Canis lupus familiaris: one gene and its partners. The protein of the gene in region 4 interacts with the protein of the main gene of each other region in a pairwise test. Links are inferred from orthologs where the notes say so. Each region holds a gene or a part of one and is shown on either strand. Other genes may lie near its edges.

What was found.
Region 1: the proteins of KRT40 (region 4) and DOCK2 interact in binary tests that used the Homo sapiens proteins (3 or more experiments, as listed by UniProt). The two-hybrid records come from large-scale screens. The link is inferred for Canis lupus familiaris from reciprocal best matches to the Homo sapiens genes KRT40 and DOCK2.
Region 2: the proteins of KRT40 (region 4) and CCDC120 interact in binary tests that used the Homo sapiens proteins (3 or more experiments, as listed by UniProt). The link is inferred for Canis lupus familiaris from reciprocal best matches to the Homo sapiens genes KRT40 and CCDC120.
Region 3: the proteins of KRT40 (region 4) and JOSD1 interact in binary tests that used the Homo sapiens proteins (3 or more experiments, as listed by UniProt). The two-hybrid records come from large-scale screens. The link is inferred for Canis lupus familiaris from reciprocal best matches to the Homo sapiens genes KRT40 and JOSD1.

What each region holds. Positions count from the first base shown.
Region 1 is NC_049225.1:43,064,882-43,071,019, reverse strand, and holds the start of DOCK2 (dedicator of cytokinesis protein 2), read left to right. Parts: upstream 1-2,055; 5' UTR 2,056-2,153; coding exon 2,154-2,196; intron 2,197-6,138. UniProt on the Homo sapiens protein: Involved in cytoskeletal rearrangements required for lymphocyte migration in response of chemokines. Activates RAC1 and RAC2, but not CDC42, by functioning as a guanine nucleotide exchange factor (GEF), which exchanges bound GDP for free GTP.
Region 2 is NC_049260.1:42,404,889-42,410,899, forward strand, and holds the start of CCDC120 (coiled-coil domain-containing protein 120), read left to right. Parts: upstream 1-1,928; 5' UTR 1,929-2,243; intron 2,244-6,011. UniProt on the Homo sapiens protein: Centriolar protein required for centriole subdistal appendage assembly and microtubule anchoring in interphase cells. Together with CCDC68, cooperate with subdistal appendage components ODF2, NIN and CEP170 for hierarchical subdistal appendage assembly.
Region 3 is NC_049231.1:27,102,523-27,108,620, forward strand, and holds the start of JOSD1 (josephin-1), read left to right. Parts: upstream 1-2,015; 5' UTR 2,016-2,034; intron 2,035-2,324; 5' UTR 2,325-2,959; coding exon 2,960-3,144; intron 3,145-6,098.
Region 4 is NC_049230.1:21,657,490-21,663,472, reverse strand, and holds the start of KRT40 (keratin, type I cytoskeletal 40), read right to left. Parts: upstream 3,643-5,983; 5' UTR 2,852-3,642; coding exon 2,405-2,851; intron 1,911-2,404; exon of another isoform or gene 1,908-1,910; coding exon 1,825-1,907; exon of another isoform or gene 1,566-1,824; coding exon 1,409-1,565; intron 694-1,408; exon of another isoform or gene 604-693; coding exon 442-603; intron 374-441; exon of another isoform or gene 363-373; coding exon 237-362; intron 86-236; exon of another isoform or gene 1-85. UniProt on the Homo sapiens protein: May play a role in late hair differentiation.

The sequences.
Region 1 (6,138 bases), on a different chromosome or scaffold from region 4:
TATAGTCTGATTTACAATAGTGCTGAAATCATTAAGTTTCATGGTTAACTTGGTGAGACTACAGACCTAATTATTCAATCAAGCACCCATCTAAGTGTTGCTGTGGAAGCATTTTGTAGATGTAATTAACATCTACAATCAGTTGACTTCAAGTAAGCAAAGGAGACTATTCTTGATAGTCTGAGTAGGACCAATCCAATCAGTTGGAAGGCCTTAAAAATGAATCTTCCTTGAAACAGAAGAAATTCCAGCTGTGTGGACAGCAGCTTCAGCTCCTGCCTGAGAAGGTCTAGCCTGCGCATCCTGATAGCCTGCCATATGGATTTGGGATGTGCCTAACCAGCCTCACATTCACATAAGCCAGTTCCTAGCAATACATATCTTAATGTTTATATATTTCTCCTACTGGTTCTGTTTCTTTGGGGGAATCCTGGCTGATTCAACTGCTCACTACAAAAGATTCTACCTAATCTGTGCTGCTACAAAACCATAAAGGAAATAACTTTAGATAAAATGAAGTTAATATTTTGCCATAGCTGACAGGCAGCTATGACATTGCCTAATCTATTTATATTGACACTCTAGTGTAAGGCAGAAAGGGGAAATGGGGGTTACTTTTTTTTAAAGATTTTATTTATTTATTAATGAGAGACACAGAGAAAGAGAGGCAGAGACACAGGCAGAGGGAGAAGCAGGCTTCCTGTAGGGAGCCTGATGCAAGACTTCATCCCAGGACCCTGGGATCACAATCTGAGCCAAAGGTAGATGCTCAACTACTGAGCCACCCAGGTGCCCCAGTGAGAGTTACGAATAAAGAAAATCCAGGAAGACTTTAATTCAGTCTTATCAATGTGGGTCAAAGAGACGTTTTTTGTTTCGTGCTAGCATCTGTTTCCAAAGCAAAAATGAGATTTTTCCAAAAAGTGTCTTGATTAGCCTAACTCTAGGACTCTTTTCTGGGGGCAACTGCTGTTGGCTCTCAGAGCACCTTTACCTCCTAACATTGTTGGTGAATCCTGTGCTTGTGTACAGAGGAGAGTTTTCTAGGGTTTTATCATATCTTCTTTCCTTTTTAAATATTTTATTTATTTATTTATTCATGAGAGACACAGAGAGAGAGGCAGAGACGTAGGCGGTGGGAGAAGCAGGCTCCCTGCAGGGAGCCTGATGTAGGACTCGATCCCAGGACTCCAGGATCACACCCTGAGCCAAACAAACGTAGTCGCTCAAGCACTGAGCCACCCAAGTGCCCCTTTTATCATATTTTCAAATGGGTCTATGGCACCAATAGGATAAAAGACTCAAATGACGTCCTCTGTAGGTGTATATTTAACTGTTATGTGTCGCCTGTTGTATACATTATCTCCTCTAATCCTCACAATAATCATATGAAGTACATACTAGTATCCCATTTTACAGTTGAAAACTGAATCTTAGGGCAGCCGGGTGGCTCAGCGGTTTGGCGCCGCCTTTGGCCCAGGGCCTGATCCTGGGGACCCAGGATGGAGTCCTGCGTCAGGCTGCCTGCACGGAGCCTGCTTCTCCCTCTGCCTCTGTGTGTGTGTGTGTGTGTGTGTGTGTGTGTGTGTGTGTCTCATGAATAAATAAATAAAATCTTAAAAAAAAAAAAGAAAACTGAATCTTAGAAAAAAGTGACATAGTTTGTCCTACTGGCATAGGCAATATAAGCAATAGAGTTTGGATTTGCAGTCAAATGCTCTACCACTGAGCTCTACTCTCTAAAGTGTGGATTTGAATTCACATCACATACCAAAGTTCCTGCTGGGTAGCTGTGGGAGAGAATTCTGTTCAGTCACTAAGCTGTTATCCCGGAACTTCTGCATTTGTGGTGGTGGCCTGGGTGGCCAAGTACCTGCTTAGCTTCTGCCCACTTGCCTGGGGAGGAACAAGTTGGAGGTGCCCCCCAAGTTTTGCTGGGGGCCTTCTGGCCTGCTAGCCACTAGCTTTCTAACATGCCCCAGCCCAATGGGAGGGAGGAAGAGGAGGAGCAGGGCACCCTGGGGAGAGGAGGGCGGGTCCTGAGAGGGAGTTTGAAAAGAGGAAGGAAGTGGGGCTCTGCGGAGCGCCTAGCCACCCCCTGGCTGCTTCCCCACAGGAGGACGCAAGGAGCCCGCAGCTCCCCTGGCCCAGCCATGGCCCCCTGGCGCAAAACTGACAAGGAGCGACACGGCGTGGGTAGGTGTGGGCAAGGGGTCCCCAGCAGGGGGAAGGTCAGGTGGCCTGAGATCCATGCACAGGAAGATGCTGAAGGAGCCTGCAGGGCGGCCACAGGCGGGGTACACTGACCCAAGGTCCTAGGGCTCAGTGACTTCCTCTGCTAGCTGCAGGGCCAGCTGGGCAGGGAGGAGGAGGCAGCGGGAGAGGAAAGTGGGCACGCTGCCCAGTTGGCTTTGCCCAGCCCATGCCCTCTCCCACTGGGCACAGATTGCTGTCTATCCCCCAACACTTCTGCATCCCCTAGGTGGTGGTTAGCCCAGTTGGCTCTGTGTGCCACAGTCCCAGTGTTTCAAGGAGTGGACTTCATCCCTCCATGTAGAGAGTTGGCCTCATAGAAGGAACACCCGCCCTCTCTGGCCTGGCCCAGCATGCCTTCTTCCACTCCTGTCCAAAAAGACACCCATCTGCCTGCTTCCCCTGTCTGTTTCTTCTGGGTCAGATGACTGCTTATTTGGTAGAGGCTCCAGAGAGCTGTACAGGCTTGTGGCGTGGGGTTGGAGAGCAGAGTCCTTCACTCAGCCTTGGAGAACCTCTGGGAAGAAAGGCTCCTTCCAGGTTATCCGGGGACATCCAAGAAGCCGGCCTCATCAGCTTCACCCATCTAAGCTCCCAGAAGCCTCTGCCTCAAGCTCAGGGGCGGAAGTGGTGGCTGGGGGAAGGGAAACTTCAGGTACTGGGACTACTAAGTGGCACCCGTGGTGCAGCCTCTGAAAACTCACTGTGGTTTTCAAATTTAAGTGTAAATTTGAAAACCACTGTATGGTTTCCTACACAGGCAGATACCAGACACCAACCCCAGAGAGGAGCATTGAACAGGTCAGAGGTTGGAGTACCCAGGCCCGGAGGGAGATTAGATACAGGGAGTCCCGAGGCCACTCCCAGGGAGAAATGCTTCCCTGGAGAGTTCAACATTTATCTCTTCACTTGCTGGGCTCTAGGCACTATGGAGTGTTTTAAAATAACGGTCCCCATCCAGAGAACAAATAATAATCTATATCCTTGAAGAGCTTCAGTTTCTTCATCTATAAAATGGGAAGTTTGAACTAAAACCACTAAGGACCATGTCTAACTTCACAGCTTCTCTAAGTCCAGCCCTATCAGCTGGGGGCATCAGGCTGAAATTCTTCTCAAGGGAAAATGGGAACTATTAAGTGGGACAGACCACTGTAGGCAGAGAGGCCAATGCAGTATAGGAGATGAAAGTGGGACATGAAGGGCATATCCAGGAAAGAAGACAGATGCTCCTTTTGCCTGAAAAGAATGATCGTACTTAAAGTAAGCTGGAGCCACATTTTGGAAGGGTATAAATGCCAGGCTAAGAAATTGAGACTTTTCCCACTTAGGCAATGGGGAGCCAAAGAGGGCTTCTGAGCAGGGAAGAGGCATGGACAGATTTGTGCTGAAGCCGGTGTGGAGGGAGGCTGAGTGAACAGAATGGCAAAGGTGCCTGGGTGGCAGATAGGAGACCGTATCGGTCCACAGTAAGTAGAGCAGTAAATTGCGGGAGATTTGAGCAGTGTGGAAGAGCCCTATCCTTCGTCCCAAGGGCTGCAGTGCATTCCTGCTGTGAAGGCCCTGTGCTATGCTGTGAAGATCATGGGCTCTGGTGCTAGACTGCCTGTTGTTGAATTCCAGCTTCTAACACTTTCCAGCCCTGTGACCTACACAAGCTACTTACTCCCTCCAGGCCTTAGTTTCCTTGTCTCCTTGTCTATATAATGGGGATAATAATAGCCCATGCCTCCCGGGTTGTTGTAGAAGTAAAGGAGTTCATTCACATAAAGTGCTTAGAATGACCATTATACAAAGCAGTCCTCACTAGATGTTATCAATTATTATTCTCAGACTTTGTCTTTTGCATAGGAGTTTAGTAGAGGACATGATACCATAGGATGGGACAGAGTTACAGGTTGGAGTAGGGGTCCCACCCTCTCTTGCAGAGGAAATCCAACCTATATGGTCAGGGATTAGGAACTCTGTTAGGCATTAGGCCTGAGGGCTTCTTGACCTGATGGTATAGCTGACATTTTTCATGCCTACTTATGAAAATTCTATTTCATAGGGAGTCAGAAGATCTATGACCCTCTAGGGAGCCAGACAGCACTAAGATAGGTGCCTACTTATCAAAGGGTGTCTCTTTTCTCTGCAGATAAATGCAGGACTCTTTCTTAGGCCTTCAGTAGATGGAAAGAAGAGGGAGTGTAATTTATGGTGGAATGGCGGACTGGAGTCATGGGACAGAAAGAACAGGGACCTAACATTAAGGAGTCTCGGTTATAGTTCTGACACCATCACTAGTTGCAGACAGATCTATGACAGATCTAGTTTTCTCATTGTAAGTCTAGGTATTAATATTTTTATATTTCAAGGTGTTCTTTTACAAAGAACATTTGAGATCATGAGTATGGGGGCTTGGAATAAGACAAAGAGAAACATAGAAAAGTTTAGTGGTTTATCAGAATATCTCTAGAGTCCAGCCAGGCCTAAAACACAAGAACCTGAGCTTTGCTTTCTTATTTGGTTTCCTCATCAGTGTTGGTGGCATTAGCCCGTTTTCGTCTGGTATAATTCACAAGGACTGCTCACGTCTCTGTCTTTTTGTCTCAGGGGCTGGCTTTACACGAGACAATTTCATCACCAGAAGCACTGGCTTCTTGCTCATCTTGTTGTCTGGTTGGCAGCCCCAGGAGACCTTCATAGAGATGCCTTGTCTGATTATTTTTCTTTCCTTGATGGAATCTTAATATGTGATCCGTTAGAATCCCAGAGAGTTCCAGAAGTGGAACAAAACAGTATGAATATGAAGTAAGAAAAGGCACAGACTGCCTTTGAAGAGATGTGTGAGGTTAGAAGCTTGGGCTGTGAAGTTAGAACTGATTTTAAATCTGGGCCTGTTTCCTCATCAATAAAGTGAGGTCTCATGATAATGTGGGTCTCATGAGGCTGTTGTAAAGATTGAATGGGGTAATCCATGAAAAGTACTTAGTAATGTGGTTGACTCAATCAAAGTTAGTGACTAAGGTAAGGGAGTTAACCTAATAGTTGTGGAGCCAAGAGAAACACAGAGTAATGCATCCTAATACCAGATTGAGGATGGTGATGCCTTCCAAGAGTGTAGTATTTTGTGGTTTACAAGACCCATTCTCATGCAATATCTTTGGCTCCAGAACATCTCTGTGAGGCATTATTTTCATTTTACAGATGAAGAAACCAAGACCCAGAGTTCATATAATTTAGAAGTACTTGGGCTTGGCCTTAAATTCAGTTGATTTCAGATCCCAGGTCCTTTGCACCATACAAGGAAGAAATCCAGGAGCAGGAGCATCACAGAAAAAGGCAGGATATTGGATATGTAGCATTTGGGTCAAACAATAAATATTCTGCTTTGGTTTTAGTAGATGTTTATAATGAAAACAAAGCAAAACAAAACAAAACTTTTGAGAGGTAGACTGCAGCCAGATGGTGAAAGGGGCTTTGAATGCCAGCCCTATAAGTTTGGACTTCATTCTGTGCACAGTGGAATTTTTGAGCAGGCATGTCACCTTTAAGAATTTAATATAATGAATTGTGAGAAGGGCAGGGATTGGACATAGAGGTACAAAAACAGAAGTAGGTGACAATTTACCTGTCTCCTAACTGCAGGAGTAGTTAACCCTCCAAGAGTCCACTTACAATTTGGCCTTTACTATCTTAGTTTTCTCTGAGTCTCAGTGATGAGAGCTTCCACCTGGGAGCAGAAAAGGTAGAAGGAATAAGTAACAGCTATCAGTTAGGAATAAATGTGATGGGTGATAGAATACCTCCAGAAAAGTGGCTTAACCAAACTAGAACTTTATTTCTCCCTCAAATAGAAAGCCCAGAAATCCGTGGGTCCGTGAAGAGGTAGTGGAGCAATTCATT
Region 2 (6,011 bases), on a different chromosome or scaffold from region 4:
TCCATTTTTCCCCTTTGGAATGGGAATGTCTGTAAGTCTTATCCTATATCTGTCCCATCGCTGTATTTTGGGAAAAGATAATTTGTTTCCTAGTTTCACAGGTTGGGAGATGGAAAGGAATTTTGCCTCAGGTTGGATCATACTCAGAGTATCATTTATACCTGACTTAGATGATGAGATTTGGAACCTTTGAGCTGATGACACCAAAGTGAGATTTTGAAGTTGAGTTGATACTGTAATGGATGAAACTATTAGGGGTATTGGGATAAGGTACATGTATTTTGCATGTGGGATAGATGTGTATCTTTGAGGGTATACTGTTGTAGGGTGAATGATGCCCCCAAAAGATATGCACATCCTAATTCCTTGAACATGTGAGAGTACCTTAGATGGCAAAAAAGAAAAGAAAAAGAAAAAGGAAAAGGACTTTGCAGTTTGCAGATGTAATTAAGGTAAAGATTTTGAGATGGGAGATTATCCTACATTATCAAGGAGACCCTAATTGTACTAACAAGTGTCCTTAGAAGAGGAAAGCAGAGGCAGACTTCACAGACAGAATGCATGGCAATGCAACCAAAGAAACAGATTGTAGTGATGTGGCTACAAGCCATGGAATGCAGACAGTCACCAGAGTAGGGAGAGGTGACAGACAAATAGATTCTCCCCTAGAGCCTCTGGAGGGAGTATGGCCCTGCTGGCACCTTGATTTTAGTCTTCTGGCCCCCAGAGAGTGTGAGAGAACACATTTCTTAGATAGTTAGCCACCAAGTTTGTGAAAATTCATCACAGCAGCCACAGGAAGCTAACGTAGATGGCTTGGGATAGATTTGGTGGTTGTTGGAGGGATGATTGCTTGGGGGTTATCAAAGAGAGTGTGAGGGTATAATTAGGAGCCATTGGAAAGTGTTTGGGTACTGTTGGAACAATCAAAGGAAAGACCAAGGGGTTTGGTGGGTCACTGGAAGGTGGTTTGGAGGTGTCGTTGGGAGACTGGGAAGATAAAGGGGGAATGTCTACAGATAACATGGGGACTATTAAGACAGTTTAGGGTGTAGTTGGGAGTTTTTGGAGGGTGGTCTGGGAGGTATGGAAAAAATGGAAGATGTTTTGTGGGTATAGTTGCATGTAATTTAAGACAAAGTTCAGGGGGTGATCCTGGGGTCCTGGGATCAAGTCCCTCATTGGGCTCCCTGTGAGGAGCCTGCTTCTCCCTCTGCCTCTGTCTGTGCCTCTCTCTGTGTGTCTCTCATGAACAAATAAATAAAAATCTTAAAAAAAAAGACAAGGTTGGGTATAGTGGTCATTGAAGAGTGGTTTGGAGGTATAGTTTTGGGCTGCAGAGTATGGTTAGGAGGGGACATGGAGACTGATTCGGGGTCCATGGGGTTGTTTTCGGTGTGTACTGGGGATAGATGGAAGAGTGATTTGGAAGTGCTCTTTGGAGGTTGATGGTTTCAGGGCTGATTGCAGACAGTTTAGGGGAACGAGTTGGGGGTAGTGAAGGGTAGTTTATTCTCACAGTTTGGGAGTCCACGGAGGGTGGATTGGGGGCATTGCTTGGGATCAATAAACAATAGTTTGGGGATACAGTTGGGGGAATGATGGAGGGTGGTTTGGGGGACACAGAAGTTTAGAGGAGAGTTTAGAGACGTGGTGGTGGCCCAAAAAGGCAGTTTCGGGTACTGCTTGGGGGTTTGCGGGTGGGGGGGGTGGGAGGACGACTCCGGGTGAGGGGCAGCCGGCGGATCACTGGGGGGGCGTGGCCTCGGCGGGGGAGCGCTCCACCGCCCTCGAGGAAGCGTGTGCGCACGCGCTCCCAGCTGGTTCGCTCCTGGCGCTCCGAGGGCAGGAAAATCGAAGACCCAAACTGGCGCCTGCGCACTAGGTCTCCGCCGCTGCTGTGGTCTCGCGCCCCGCCCCCCGTCCCCCCACCTCTCCCCAGGCTCGCGCTCAGCCACGGCTGTGTCGGTGCAGCTGGGAGCAGACGCACCCGAGGTGAGGGTGGGGGGGGTCCGGGGTCCACCGACCGCGGCCGAGCCGGCGCGCCTCTCCCACCCTCCCCGCACCTCCAGTCTGGCCCCCACGGCTGACATTTGCGCGGCCAAAAGCGGCCCACGGGCAGGGCGCGGAAAGGGAGTAGGCGCGAGGCCGGGGACGAGCGGGCGGCGGCGAGGGAGGGGCGCAACCCAGCCCCCTTCCTGGCCCACAGCGACCCCGCCTACGTCGCGGGACGAGGACCCTCGGTGAGTAACGCCCGCCTGGAGAAGAAGGGAGGAGACAGGGCGGGGTGAGGGCCCGGAAACGCCAACAGAGAATGTACCTGCGCGCGCACCCGCGACCTCTGACCCTGTGGTCGCACTCCCGACCCCTACCTGACCTGACTACACCGTTTTTAACCCCGAGCTCTGGCCAGTCTTGGCCCCAGGACCTCCGATCTGACCCCCCACCTAACCATATTTTGGCCTGGCGTGATCCGCAATCCCTGTTTTGTTCCCCCAAACCCAGTCCTGACCCCAAACTCCACCCGGTTCTGTTCTCAGGATCCTTGGCCTGACCCTGTTCCATCTCTGAAGCCTATCTTGCCTTGTCCCGACCATCCCAGTTTCTGGCCTGTGCCCCAAACTCTTGTCCAGCCCCTGAACCCCTTCCAGTCATGTCCTGTCCCCCTAACCGCAGTCTGATCCAGGTCTGTCTGGATTCCTGACCTCTGATTTCTAAACTTTCTCCCTCCCCCCAGTACTATCCTCCTGGTCCCCTCCTGACTCCCCATCTCCAACCTGGCCCACCCCCTTTAGACCATCCCTCTGTTTCCTGCCCTGTCTCTGCCCCCAGCCCCGTGCTGTTTTCCCCTGACTTCTCTTGTCCCATCACTGTCCTCATTCCTATCCTTATTCTGTTCCAGTCTTTTCCTGTTCCTTACTTCCATCCTGAACCTGCCCTTTTCCCTATCCCCTTCCTTGAGCACTGTCTTGGCCAGTCATCATCATTTCTGAGAGCTATCCTATACTAACCCTGCCCTGCTCTTTTGTTCTTTGCTGCCCCCTACTTTTTCTCTGACCCTTGTCCTGAACCTCACTCCATCTCACCCCCTGGCCAGTGTCTTGGCTCCTTCTCTGTCCTGCCTCCTGACCTCCATCCTACAATGACTCCGATTCTCTCTTGCCCTCTGTGCTCCTTCCTGTTCTCTTTCTTCATCCTCTCCCAACCTGAAGCCCCCATCCTATCCCTTACCATGCCCCTCCACTCCAGTCAGATCTCCCTCTTCCTAACACCCATTTTCCATCTCATCTGAGCCCAGAAGAACTGAGTCCTGTTATACCCTGCCCCTGAACTCAGAGGTTCCAATGTTCCCATTATCTCGGGTTCATCCCAAATGCCTCTCAGCATGAACAAGAGCAAGAAGCCTTGTGGGCCCTGTGTGGCTTAAGGAGGTTTTCGTTTGTGATGTCCTTCACCCCCACCCAGTGATCTCACGCAGAGCTTGCATTTGTCTGCCTGCCCCAGGGGGGCATGGAACTGTTCCTACACCCCCCACCCTCCCCAAGTGTGAAAGAACACCCTAAATTATTCAGTGACTCTCTGGGAGTCTGAGATCTGGATCATGTTTCCAGCCTGGCTAGGTTGGGGGCTGCCCCATGTCAAGGTGGGGGGTGTGGTGAGCAAACATGCAGGAGTGGGGAACACAGGGGTATGTGGGAACCTTCCATGTCATGTTACCCCTATCTCCTAGTCCTGAACCTAGGTGTACATGATCTCTGCTTTCCTGGCCTGAAAAAGTCCATTCCAAGCCAGAGGCTTGGTAGGGGTGAGATGGGGATGGGGCGTTCTATCCCCCTTCTCTCAATTGTAAGCAATACAAATGGCAGTGCTAAGTCCATCCCACCTCTGTGGGGCAGGTGTGTGTGTGTGTGTGTGTGTTTGTGTCACTGAGTGTTAGATTCAGTCCTATCCAGTAGTGACAATAACAATAAAAGCAATACAAGATTCTCGATTCTCTCACTGAATCTTCTTGATTCTGAGGACAGGCAAGGAGAATTTGGATAGTGAGAAGGTAACATGTTATTCAGTTCTGTTTTGTTCCTGCATTTGTCATAGAGAGTAGTGAGAACTTGAATAACAAGATATTTGACCCATGTCATTTATCTAAAACATTTATCCAAACCTATTTTTTAAAAGATTTTATTCATGAGAGACACAGAAGCAGAGACATAGGCAGAGGGAGGAGCAGGTTCCCTGGAGGGGAGCCTGATGCGGGACTTGATCCCAGGACCCCGGGATCACAACCTGAACTGAAGGCAGATGCTCAACCACTGAGCCATTCAGGTGTCCCAAACCTAATTTTTTTTTAAGTAGGCTCCACACCCAGCATGGAGCCCAACATGGGGCTTGAACTCACAATCCTGAGAGATCAAGACCTGAGTTAAGATCAAGAGTCAGGGATCCCTGGGTGGTGCAGCGGTTTAGCGCCTGCCTTTGGCCCAGGGCGCGATCCTGGAGACCCGGCATCGAATCCCACGTCGGGCTCCCGGTGCATGGAGCCTGCTTCTCCCTCTGCCTATGTCTCTGCCTCTCTCTCTCTCTCTCTCTGTGACTATCATAAATAAATAAAAATTTAAAAAAACATTTAAAAATAAATAAAGGAGGGTCTGAGGGTCAGGGATGGGCTGAATTAAAAAAGATCAAGAGTCAGATGCTTAACTGTCTGAGCCACCCAGGTGCCTCTACCCGAACCTATTAATAACAACACAAGTGTCCTTCATTGTTCTGATGTTTGTTTGGCACCTGACTTCTGAGAGGGAGAGCTTGGATAATTCCAACAGTGAAAGATACCAAGTTACCTGGAGGTTTTTTGCTTTTGCATTTTACATAGTGAGTGGGGAGGGTTCAGATAATGAGGGATAACGACTCCAACTAAAAAATATATTCAAATTGATTCATCTCCCTGAGCTCCAGTGGCAAGAGTTGGGATAGTAAGAGTACTGTGTTGTGTGAATATATTTGGCTCCTGCATTTTGTCCGGTGAGGGAAAGCTCAGAGAGTGGGGGATAGCGGTTCTACCTCAGGTGTATCCAAATCCTTTCAGTTCCTGTATATGGATAGTAAGCATTTGGAGAATTTACCTGAATATGTTTGGTTCCTGAATTTTTTTAATGTTTTTTTAAAATTATTTATGATAGTCACACACACAGAGAAAGATAGAGAGAGGCAGAGACACAGGCAGAGGGAGAAGCAGGCTCCATGCACCGGGAGCCCGACGTGGGATTCGATCCCGGGTCTCCAGGATCGCACCCTGGGCCAAAGGCAGGCGCCAAACTGCTGCGCCACCCAGGGATCCCGGTTCCTGAATTTTTTTTAAAATTTTTTTTCATTTATTTATGATAGTCACACACAGAGAGAGAGGCAGAGACATAGGCAGAGGGAGAAGCAGGCTCCATGCACCGGGAGCCTGACGTGGGATTCGATCCCCGGTCTCCAGGATCGCGCCCTGGGCCAAAGGCAGGCGCTAAACCACTGCGCCACCCAGGGATCCCTGGTTCCTGAATTTTTGATGTTGAGTAGCAAGAGGTCTGATAATGATAGAAATCAGCTCTGTTTCAAATATGTCTGTTTTAATCATTGGGGAAGGTTCGGTATCTAGATAGCAAGTAGGGAGGGTTTGGAGGCTGAAGCATACCAGCTTGGTCTTAGCAGTACATCTGAATACATTGAGTTCTTTTCTTTGGATAGTGAGAGATTGGAAAAATTTATTTCAGAGAAAAACAACTCTGTTGCAAATTTATCAGGTGAAGCTGAGGGATACCAGCTCTTCAGCTCTGTCTCAAAAAAGAAAAAATATACACACACATTCCTGAGTTTGAATTGGGAGGGATAGTATAATTATGACAGCCAATACATATTGACCACTAACCAAAGGCGAATTATTGTCCTAAGCAAGATTTCAGTGCATTAATTCATGTCATGCTCACAACAGTCCTGTGAAGTACATGTTGTCACCCCCATTTTACAGATGA
Region 3 (6,098 bases), on a different chromosome or scaffold from region 4:
ACTACAAATCTCTCTCTCTTTTTTATGATCAAGTCTTATGTACACCAGCACAGCTGGGAATCTGGGACAAAAAGTCATTCAACTCCAAAGGTCTTGATAAGATCTCCTCGAATGCATTTTTTCCCTTTCCTTTTTTTTTTTTTAAGATTTTATTTATTTATTCATAGAGACACACACAGAGAGAGAGAGAGAGAGAGAGAGAGAGAGAGAGAGAGGCAGAGACACAGGCAGAGGGAGAAGCAGGCTCCATGCAGGGAGCCCGACATGGGACTCGATTCCAGGTCTCCAGGATCACACCCTGGGCCGAAGGCGGCGCTAAACCGCTGAGCCACTGGGTCTGCCCCCTTTTCTGACTAAATCGCTCACCACTATCCTATATATCCCTCTATGAGATACTTAAAAAACATTAAAATCTTGATTTGGCAGAAAAGCCAAATATCAAGCTTTAGTCCTCTAGAATAATTGGTATTTACCATATGACCAACTGGCTCTTCCAGAAAGAGCTCAAGTACAGTATGTGCTGACACCTATCGGTAGACTAAAAAACATGTCCTCACTATAGGACTAGTTCACAAAACATACTCTCAAGAGTAGGTACTTCTTGAACAGAGAAATCTTAAAATTACATCTTGAGAAAGAAATTCCCTTCCCATTTTTACAACCTCTTTCCGAAGACAAGTTAGATCTCAGGTTCAAATCCTGAGTCTACTACTTCGTAGCTGTGTGACCTCAAACAAGATAATTAACCACTCTGAGCTTCAGTTGTCTCCTCTGGGGGAAAAAAAAAAGGCAGCAGCTATCTCAAGGCAGTTAGCAGGAAATGAACAGTGTTTGCAAGCCTCCATTAACTAATCTTAGGAAAATATAACCGCAACCTTAGGTGGCTTACAAATTACAAAACTTTAAGATAATTCTAAAGTCTGGATTAGGGCAGGACTCCCAAGCGTGTGGTAAGCACTCAAGAGTGTGTTAAAGTGGTAACTGCGGTAAGTGTAATGGTCTTAGAGTCGAGTCCTAGCAAGGTTAGAGAAATGCCTGAATTATGTAATCTTACTGTTTTTCCTGAACAAAAAATCCCAAAGAAGGGCACCTAGGGTGGATGATGCCTCCCATGTGACCTAGAGGTAGGTAAAAGGGGGGGAAAGTCCCCGCGGGACCGGGTGTTTACCTTCCTGACACCCAAGATACCTTGAGAAAATCCAGAGTAAAGTTCTAAGTCAGCCACCGTGAGACCAGGGCGAGAGGACAGTGGTCTGTGGGTAGTGCACCGAAATTCGACACCAAGGCACTGAGACAGGACTCTCCACTCCGCCTGAAATGTGACTCCAGGCGAGGCACTTACCCTCAGCGCTCCCAGGGAAGTGCGAGGCGGCCGGGCCCGCTAACCAAGGCAGCTTACGCCCGACCGCACCAGTAAGTTTCTCTGAAATCACCTGGTGAACAGCGCGTTAGACAAACATAAAACGGCCAACGCAGGAGTAGCTAGTCCGGGTTCTGCAAAGCGCTCGGCTCGAGAAGCCCGGCCCACAGAAGGGAAAGGGTGGGGAGCCCGGCGAGGGCAGCCGCAGGCCGGGTCGCCGCCCCGGAACGGCGCCGACGCCCGGGGAAGGGTGGGGAGCGGCGGGCGGCGAGGCGAGACTCCCGCAGGCCGCCCCGCCCTACTCACACCCGGAAAGAACCGAACCCAGGAGCCAGGCACCAGCGCCATGGCCGGCTGCCGCCGCTGCGCCTCACGGCCCCACGGCCCCACGGCCGCACGCTCTCTCCGACCCCCGCCCACCAGGCCACCCAGCACCGCCCACACCCACTCAACGGACCCGCGGCAGCCCCGGCCTTAAAGCCGGCGCCGCCTGACGACAGGCTGACGTCATACGTGACGCCGTGGCGGGCGGGAGCGGAGACGGCACGGGAGGGCGTTTCCGGAGCACGCGCCCGGCGAGGGCCGCTGACGTCGGGCTCAGGTGCGCGCGCTTGCCCGCCCGCCCGAGCGCGGCCCAGGTGGCGGCCCGCAGCGCCAGGTGGCGGCCTGCAGAGGTGAGGGGCGACCCGCGGGGCGGGCGCGGGCGCGGGCGCGGGCGCGGCCGGGGGCGGCGGCGGGAGGGCGTGTCGCCTTGCACTCACGTGACGGGCGGGAAGGTTGGGGTGTGGGCGGTGAGGCGAGCGGGGTGGGCCCGACCCCACCCCCGAGGGCCTGCCCGCCGCTGCGGAGGACCTTCCCTCGGGCTGGGGCCGGACCCGCCCCGCCCCGCCACCTACCCCGCCGCCTGGTTGTCCGCGGCGGCCCGCGCGACCGCCGGAGCTGACCGCGGTTGTCTCCTCCGCAGGGCCGCGGCGAGAGGGTGAGAGTCCGCGCGTTCCGAGGGAGCCGTCCCCGCCTTGGCCCGCGCCCCGCGGGGCCCCGCCGCACCCGAGGGGATGGAGAGCGGTCCCCGAGGCCCCAGCGCTGCCCGCGATCCCACGCTGGCCGGCTCTCGCTAGCTGCTCGAATTGTGCGTTTTCCCACAACCTAGGCCTTGTCTCCTGAGTCAGTGGCGTTGCGATTCGAAAGAAATGGAAGAAAAGGAGCGATGTGAACAATTCTGCTCGGTCCTCCTGCATTGAGGCCTGGTTGGCATTTGCAGAGAGGAAGATACGGGAAGAAAATCGTGGGGTTTTTTTTTTGGCGGGGAGAGTGGGAGAAAGGAAACAAGGTTTTAGATTTTCTATGATTTTTTTTAAAATTCTGCACTTTGACAGTGGTGGCGAAATACACTAATCCAAAAGTGATCTTTCTATTGATGGAGGTGGATTTTTTTTTCCCTTTTGATTCCAACCTTTCTCCCCGTGACAAAGCATAAATCATGGACACCAAAAAATAAGGTGGACCTCAGGAATCCCGAAAGGACTGAGCAGCTTACATTCTTCCTCTGGAGGGAAGGGTGGTGTGTTTTTAGCCATCTCTGGAACCTAAAACGAAAACATGAGTTGCGTGCCATGGAAAGGAGACAAGGCCAAATCTGAATCTTTGGAGCTGCCCCAGGCAGCACCCCCACAAATCTACCATGAGAAACAGCGCAGGGAGCTTTGTGCCCTGCATGCCCTCAATAACGTCTTCCAGGACAGCAATGCCTTCACCCGGGAAACGCTGCAAGAGATTTTCCAGAGGTAGGGGACCCCTTATCCTTGGCATTTTTACACTTTTTGCTATTTCTGAATTCCGGGGGGAGGGGCAATGTCTCCGCTATATAAACCTTTAAACCAACAGGTATTATTAGGTAACTGTTGTTAGCAGGTACAGGGGATACAGAGATGAGAAAAATAATAATCAGTATCGTTGACTGAGCACTTACTATAGGCAAGGCACAGTGCTAAAAACCCTCAGTCGTGTCATCTGGTGTGATCCCCCAACAGTCCCATGGAATATGTGTTGCTTCTTTTCCATTTTATGGACATAGACTTCAGAGAAGCTCAGCAACTTGCTGGAGGCGACATAACAAGAGATAGAGCCAAGTTTTATTTCAGACTTGTATCTGTGCTGTTGACCAGGATGCTGTAATGCCTCTCAAGTCCTACCCCCAAGAGGTTATAGTCTAGAAGGGGAACAAGATCTGTGTACACTGGGTCATCTGTCGTCAGAGGTGGTTTGTTGCAGGTTTTATAAGGAAGGTGTTCCGCTATACATAGTGCTCAGCTTTTCCATAAGGCCATACTCTGGCCTTGGTGCATTTTATACATTATGCTTTGCTTTGTATAGCTTTTTCCAGCAGTTATTTTACCATCTCTATTTTACGGATGGAGCAACAGGCAGAAAAGCCAGATAGTTTGCCCAAATAGCTTTCAAGTAGCCAAGCTATGACTTGAAGCTGACTCTAGACCTCTTTCCCTTTCTACTTCATTCTGGATGGCTTTTTTTTTTTTTTTTTTTTTAAACCAACACTTTACTAAATGCTGCCTGACAGGTTAACAGAAGTTCAGTTTTTTCTCTCTCTACTTTGATGTTCTAAAATTCTTTTATCACAGGGTTTAAGAATTAGTTCTTTGGTGTCTGGATGGACATAGCAGCATGAGTGCTACTTCCTGAGTATCAGAAAGGCATGTCAGAGCAATTCTATCATCAGTACCCATTCAGCCTGCTAGTGAGTTGGGCCTGGATCTAAAGATACAGACTGTGGTTATAAGCTGTTTGTGGATAATTGCAAGATTCTTTCAGTTGTGTTTTTCCTGAATGAAAGAATGCTAAATATTTGCTAAACTCTCACATGGAACCAAAGTTCTATTCCTGGCTACTAAAGCTCTAGCAAATTTGTACTACGCTCTCCAGTTTCCTGTCAGCGCAAGGTAAAGGTTCATCTCAAAGTAATAGCAAACCAGTGCATAAGAAAATATCCTCTATTCTCACTCCAGAGGCTGAATTCTATGTATTTTGTATGGAAAGATTCAGCGTGGATAAATGGAAACAAAGAAGTATGAAAGGGATCAGAGGAAAGAGGAAAGGGAGAAGAGGTGAGGAAGAGAAGATGGAATTTTATAAACAAACATTTGCTAGCAGCCTGCTGTGTGCCAAGCCCTGCTAGGCACTGTAGAGAAAACAAGTTGAACAGGACTCAGCCGCTAAGTACATCCCAGAGCTCTACATTGACCAGACCTTGAGAATAAACTTAAGTGAAGTTAGAACCTTAGAATTTAGAGCTGTTTGAAAGGGAAAAGATGATCTCTTTGGATCATAATGGGAAGAATAGTAATGATGGCAGGTTAAACTAGATAATTTTAAATTCTCAGATACAAAGTTTTATGCTTTTTTGAAGATGAGGCTGATGAATGGTAGAAATGGGAGAAAAATTTTGATGAATGCTGTTTGTTGAAAGGAAGCTCATCCTAGCAGTCGAATTTTAGCCAGATTAAAAAGGAGAAATACAAAAGCAGGGTGGAGTTTTCAGTACAGTTGTGGATATGAGATGACTCATGTTTGGAATAGAAATGAGTAGGGATTTAGAAAAAACTAAAACCAATGGCCGGCAGCATGGGGACGGGGAAGAGAGGAATCAAGGTGGCAGAGTCTCAGTCCAAGAGTTGAACATAGTGATAACAACCATAGTGATGGCAGAAGAGGTCACTGGTTTGGAAAGGATCAGTTTTCAACATGTGAAATTGGAGAAAAGCTCAGAATCTGGGCAGGTGTCTTCGTGCACATTATACAGACTCGGATGTCTGATCTCGTACATCTCATCATATAGGAGTCAAATGATGTAGTAGTAGTTTTGCTGAGTTGTTTGGAAAATCCTCAGGCCTCAATCTATTTTCATAGACTCAACTCAATTGTTCAGTGATTAGATGTTCTTGCAGCAAGTATGCATCCCTCTTCCTCCAAAAAATAGCTGTTAAAATCTAAATAGATGAAAAGTAGGTTGGTCCCACTTGAAAAATCTAATGCAAGCTGGAAGAGACAAAGAGATTTTAGATTTTGGTGAACAACCAGCATTCTCTACCACAAAGAAGTCCAGCCTTCCCATTAAAAAGTCCCTGAGCAAGTGGAAGGTGGTGGTAAATTGCTCAAAGAGATGGAGTACTAACCTCTAGAGATTTAAATCATTTTGTCAAGGGCCAGGCAAACACAGCATCATCATTGCCAACACCTACAGAGTACATTGATGTGCCTGACTCTATGATCTGTGCTTTATATATATATATAATATATATGTATAATATATATATTAAATATGTATATTATATATATATTTATTTAAAGGTTTTATGTATTTATTCATGAGAGACAGAGAGAGGCAGAGACACAGGCAGAGAGAGAAGCAGGCTCCGTGCAGGGAGCCCGATGTGGGACTCGATCCTGGGACTCCAGGATCACGCCCTGGGCCAAAGGCAGGCGCTCAACCACTGAGCCACCCAGGCATCCCTGTGCTTTATATATTTAATAATATAATGACACATCATGAAGTTCTGAGACATATTTTTAATGTCATATTTCTTAAGAGCTGATAAAAAGGAAAATAATAATTATGAGAGAAAAGGAACCTTGATGAATGTCCACATCTTCTTTTTGTTAAAATCTGAAATCATCACCTTAGCTAGACCCAGGAATAACCATGAGGGAGGACCAGGAACTC
Region 4 (5,983 bases):
AGGGAAGGTCAGGGAATCCTGTTGGGACAGTACAGACTGTTGACCTATCACTTCTGCTTCTAGCTCAGTAAACAGCAGTATTTGGGTAAGTCAAAGAATACAATCCTTGCATATTGGAAATTCAGACTTTCTGCCACATGAACTGTGGATCTCTCCTTGGGTTCATGGAAGAGGGACTAGCATCTCAGGGCTTAATTCTTCAGTGACAAAAACAGAGCTGTCTTTCCCTTACATACCAGGCTTTGCTGTGCTTGGAGCTCAATTTCCAGAGCATTGGCTGTGCGTTTCAGTTCCAGGATCTCTGTCTGGCAGTCTTGCAGCTGCTCTGCGCTGCACAGCTGCTGCTGATTCAGCTCCTCTGTCTGTAAACCAGGTATGATTAGAGGATGCAAATAAGGCAGAAGTCTGGAAGCTTGTCATTTTCTTGCTCTGGGTACTGACCTGAACAGCAAACCATTCTTCCACGTCTCTACGGTTGTTGGCCAGCACGGTTTCATACTGACAACGCATCTCTTCCAGGACCCTGTTGAGGTCGATGGTGGGGGCAGTGTCCAGCTCTACACTGAGTCGGTCACCCAACTGTCCACGAAGCAAGTCAACCTCCTGAAAGAGGAAATGGAGTAAAGAAAGTCACAGAGTGGTGGGGAAGAAGAATTCACCTTGACATCCCAAGAGCATCCAATTTCTGGAGAAGTGAGTAAAAGTGTGGGATTTAGATTCAGATTGCTTAGGTTGACTCTCTTTTCATCATTCAGTCTCTGCATCCACAAAAGGTGTATAATAATTTTACCTTTCCTAGAGAGTTATTGTGAGAGATATGAGTTGATGTTCATATAAAGCACTTATGAAAGTCCTTGGCACATAGGAAGGTCTCAATAAATGCTATTATCATCAACACATGCTCAAAGGGAAAATATACCATTTTACATCATTAAGTTTTTCACTTTTTAGCTTTATCAACATGAGATAGTCATATACTTCGTATTTTATGATTTAGAAAGTTTATAGATGTAGAATATTTTAAAATATTGGTCCAAATATTGCATAAGATGTTATCCCCTTTCTGAAATGGCCTTCATGCCCTGTGTTTATCAGCCTGATTTTTGTAGCTTATGGATTAGAGTTATGTGGCATAAAGCCTCCAAGGAAAGCCATTTGTAAAGTTACCTCCTTCACGAAAGCAATAGCAGGTGAACAATTTGGTCTTTCAAGTGGTACTAGCCAGGGCCCATTTCACATATACACCCAGAGATATGCCAGAGTCATCAGGCTGGACATTAGTGCCTCGAGTAATTTTGTTCCAGCTTTAGCAATATCTGCCCGAGTTTGATTTATATACACAAAACGAAATCTATCAGTTTGACTTTGTCACCTCCACATTCATTCAGCAATTTTACACTTTCCTTACCTCTTTGTGGTTTTTCTTAAGGCAAAGGAGATCTTCCTTCAGAGACTCCACATGGGCCTCCAGATCAGCTTTGCACAGAGTCAGCTCATCCAGGATCCCACGCAGGCCACCAATGTCCGTCTCTATCAGCTGGCGAAGAGACAGTTCAGACTCATACCTTTCACAGCAAAAGAGATACAGATGGTGCTTATTTTGCTAGACACTGTGCAAGATGCTGGGCATGCTGATGAATGACACAACGACTCAAGGAAGCTATATCCCAATTAATGTGAGCTTTGTGAGCATTCTTAGCTTAAAAAAAGCTTATGTAGAGAATATTTGTAGTGTGCACGTGTGTGTGTGTGTGTGTGTGTGTGTGTGAGAGAGAGAGAGAGAGAGACAGCCATGAATTATTTTCAAATTCAAATTTAACTTACTTTGACCTAAAGTCATCAGCAGCCAGTTTGCAGTTGTCAAGTTGCACAGCAAGTCTGGAATTTTCTGCCTTCGTGCATAAGATCTGGTAAGTAAGTTAGTTATATATACTAGAGGGCTCTTTGAAAGAAACTTAAATATTTATTCATTTAACAACTATACCATTATTTATCTTTTAAAAGTCTTTATAAGACAGTATAAAATAGCTTGAAGCCTATTTTTCTTATTAAGCATGTCACTTCAATGAAGAAAAAAGCAGGACCATTCATAAAATAAATATAGAAATAAAAAGGGTCCGTTTTTCAGTGGCCTAAAACATTTTGCAATATTCCTTGGCAGTTGAACTTGGATTTTTCTCCATAGGTAGTTGTGAGTGAGTTTATTTTGGCCATTCAATGATTACTGGCAGCCCCACGGCTCATGCTAATTTTTGCTGAATTTCAGCCCACCACCTTTTCCTCCTGGAGAACCCCTTTCCCTGGGGATGGGGGGAACTTCCATAGAACAGCCTTTTTTTTAGTATAAAGATAAAGCAAATCACAGATTGGGAGGGTGAAGCATTAGGGCAATGAAACACCAGACCTTTTGCTGAAGCTCTTCAATAGTGTCAAAGTAACACTGATAATCAGGGCACACCAGTGGGATATCCTCTTCACATTGTTCTCGAATCCTGCATTCGAGCTCTGCGTTCATCTCTTCCAGGCCACGGACCTTCTCTAGATAGTTGGCAAGTCTGTCATTCAGGAACTGCATCGTCTCCTTCTCATTGCTGTTGAACACCCCATCCTCACACCAAGCACAGTTCCCCACCAAGCAAGGAATATTATAATTCCCAGCAAAGTAGCATGGTGTGAGGCAACTAGTTGGCAAGCGAGACCTGGATAGGAAGCTAGGGGTCTGGCATCTGGATGTAGCAGGGGCACTGGGGAGGCAGGTGGCCTCCATGGAACAGGTTGAAGCAAGTGCACAGTCGGAAGCCTGGGCACAGGATTCAGAAGAGCAGCACGTGGGGAAACAGTCAGAAGTCATCCTATTAGAAGTGAAGAACAAGACTAGTTGCAAAACTCCAATTGACTGGTTCCCAGAGTCTCCATCCCTCCTGAGACTTTTATACAGCCTGCAAATGGGTATTTACAGAACATACCGGATGTTCTGTTTATCACTGTTGGTGCCAGTTTTCATATGAACATTCATTAGTGTTGTTTGTTTTCTGAGGAAGTTTTATGCCTCATAAAAGAGGCATAGCTTCAGGTTACTAAGTAAGGGCAATATTTCCATCTGCCAGTAGGATAAGACGCTTGGTTCAGAGAATCTTCATGAGATGCATTATCTTTTTGGTAGAATACAGAAAGGCAGAGGACATTTGGCACTCAGTAATTGCAGATACAACTGATTACAAATAACAAAAATGATATTATCACAGATTTTGCTCCTGTATTGTAAATTGTTTATCTATCCTTTTAAAATTCATATTACATCTCATTAAATGCCATTTATTTGTTTGTGTACCATCATAAAATGTTCCATGTAGTTAACCATCTTTGCAATGCTTTTTATGGTCTTGTTGTGCTCACATGGTAGAGGAGTGAGGTGTGTACTGGGTTTAAAGTGTGTGTGCACATGCATATGTGTGTGTGTGTGTGTGTGTGTATGAACTACATCTACCTGTGTGCAAATTGAAAAGTCACTTTATAAATAACTGATGGGCATAATCTGTGGCCTGCAGGCCAAAATACAAACTGGTTATCAAGATCTGGAGTTGTGATCTTTGATTTCCTGAAACTTGCTTTCTCTATGTTACCTATGCCTCATTTTTAGATTATGTATACTATTTTCACCTGTATTAATAATAAGAGTGAAATACAATTTCTAAGTTACAATCTTTTAGTTTCTTGGGAAACTAAACCCTCATTGGATACAGTTCAGAATAGGGGCAAGGAAGCTATAAAAGACTTTTCTTCTGAGATAGAATCTGTTTTCTCTTATTTACTTATTTTTTTAAGGTCACAATTTCATAAAAATGTGAAATACTGGCGTTGGGGAATAAAATTTTATAATTTGAGTTCCAGACCAGGAGTTCCATTGGATGAAATCCCTGGTGCAGTACCAAATGGATAGCGATTTGAGACATAACTTTTTTGGATTTTGTTTTGAATTTCATCTCTATTATGTATGTAGCATAATCTCTTTCACTTTCCTTGGCATAATTGTGGTATGTATTTCATTTTCAAAGGTGGGCAGAACAGATTGCCTCTAGAATCTTTAAGATTTTTACTGGAAAAGGCCCACTATTCTGACAAAGTTAAAATTTTCATGATCCAGAAAAAACTAAAAATTTTTTTCTAACTCTGAACACTACTTCCTAGGTAGCTGATGATGGAAAAACCAAAACCAAAAACAAACCAAGAGGTCTTAAATAGATGGACTTAAATAGTCCCTTAGTATGTATTACTCTCCCATCTAAATACTAACCGGGCCTGACCCTGCTTAGCTTCCAAGATCAGATAGGATTGGAACACTTTCAGGGTGGTATGGTTGTAGACTCTTGGGTTTGATTTTAGTGATTCTCTTCACATTTCAACACTTAATGCTAAATGTTCTTTTTTTATCTTTCAAGATTTTATTTAAATTCAAGTTAGTTTACATATAGTGTAGTATTAGTTTCAGGGGTAGAATTTAGAATTTAGTGATTCATCAGTTGCATACAACAACCAGTGCTCATACCATCACTTGCCCTCCTTAATACCCATCACCCAGTTACCTCATCCCCCCACCCACTTCCCCTCCAGCAACCCCCAGTTTGTTACCTATGTTTAAGAGTCTCTTATGGTTTGCCTCCCTCTCTGTCTTTGTCTTATTTTATTTTCCCTCTCCCTTCCCCATGTTCATCTGTTTTGTCTCTTAAATTCCATATGAGTGAAATCATATGGTATTTGTCTTTCTCTGACTGACTTATTTTGCTTAGCATAACACCACCCATGCCATTGTTGCAAATGGCAAGATTTCATTCTTTCTGATGGCTGATTAATATTTCATTATATGTAATGGAATATTATATATATATATATATATATATATATCACATCTTTATCCATTCATCAGTTGTTGGACATTGGGGCTCTTTCTATGTTTTAGCTATTGTGGATTGTGCTGCTATAAACATTGGGGTGCATGTGCCCCTTCGAATCACTATTTTTGTATCCTCTGGGTAAATATCTAGTAATGCAACTGTTGGGTGGTAAGGCAGTTCTATTTTTAACTTTTTGAGGAACTTCTATACTGTTTCCCAGAGTGGCTGCACCAGCTTGCATATCCACCAACAGTGTGTGAGGGTTTCCCTTTCTCTGCATCCTCACCAACATCTGTTGTTTCCAAGTTGTTAATTTTAGCCATTCTGACCAGTGTGAGTTGGTATGTCATTGTGTTTTTTTTTTATAAATTTATTTTCTCATTGTGGTTTTGATTTGTAGTTCCCTGATGATGCATGATGTTGAAGATTTTTTTAAAGATTTTATTTATTTATTCATGAGACACACACACACACACAGAGGAGAGAGAGAGAGAGAGAGAGAGTCAGAGACACAGGCAGAGGGAGAAGCAGGCTCCATGCAGGGAGCCCAACGTGGGACTCGATCCCAGGTCTCCAGGATCATGCCCTGGGCTGAAGGTGGCGCTAAACCGCTGAGCCATCCGGCTGCCGGATGTTGAAGATTTTTTAATGTGTCTGTTAGCCATTTGTATGTCTTCTTTAGAGAAATGCCTGTTCATGTCTTCTGCCCATTTCACATTCTTGGAGTACTGATGGTATATTAATGCTGTTCTGCAATAGATGGGAGTTCAAGGAATCAAAAACATATTTGAAAATTGAAAGTTACAAATCTCTGAAAAAAAAAATCTAATTTCCACAGTAACTGAATGAGAATCCGTGTCTTGGTTGTCTGTCATAGGTTTCAGCTAATTAAAATGCAGCATTGTGTCATTATTTTAAAGTAACTGCAGGTAAAAATAAGAAATATTTTCTTTTATCTTGAGCTAATTTCTATTTGTAAAATGTTGACATATGGAGAGAGAGAGAGAAAGAGAGAGAAAAGTAGTGAGAGAACAAACACACAGGACTATTTATTTTGGGCTTGATTAATTAGATAGTATTGTATGACGATC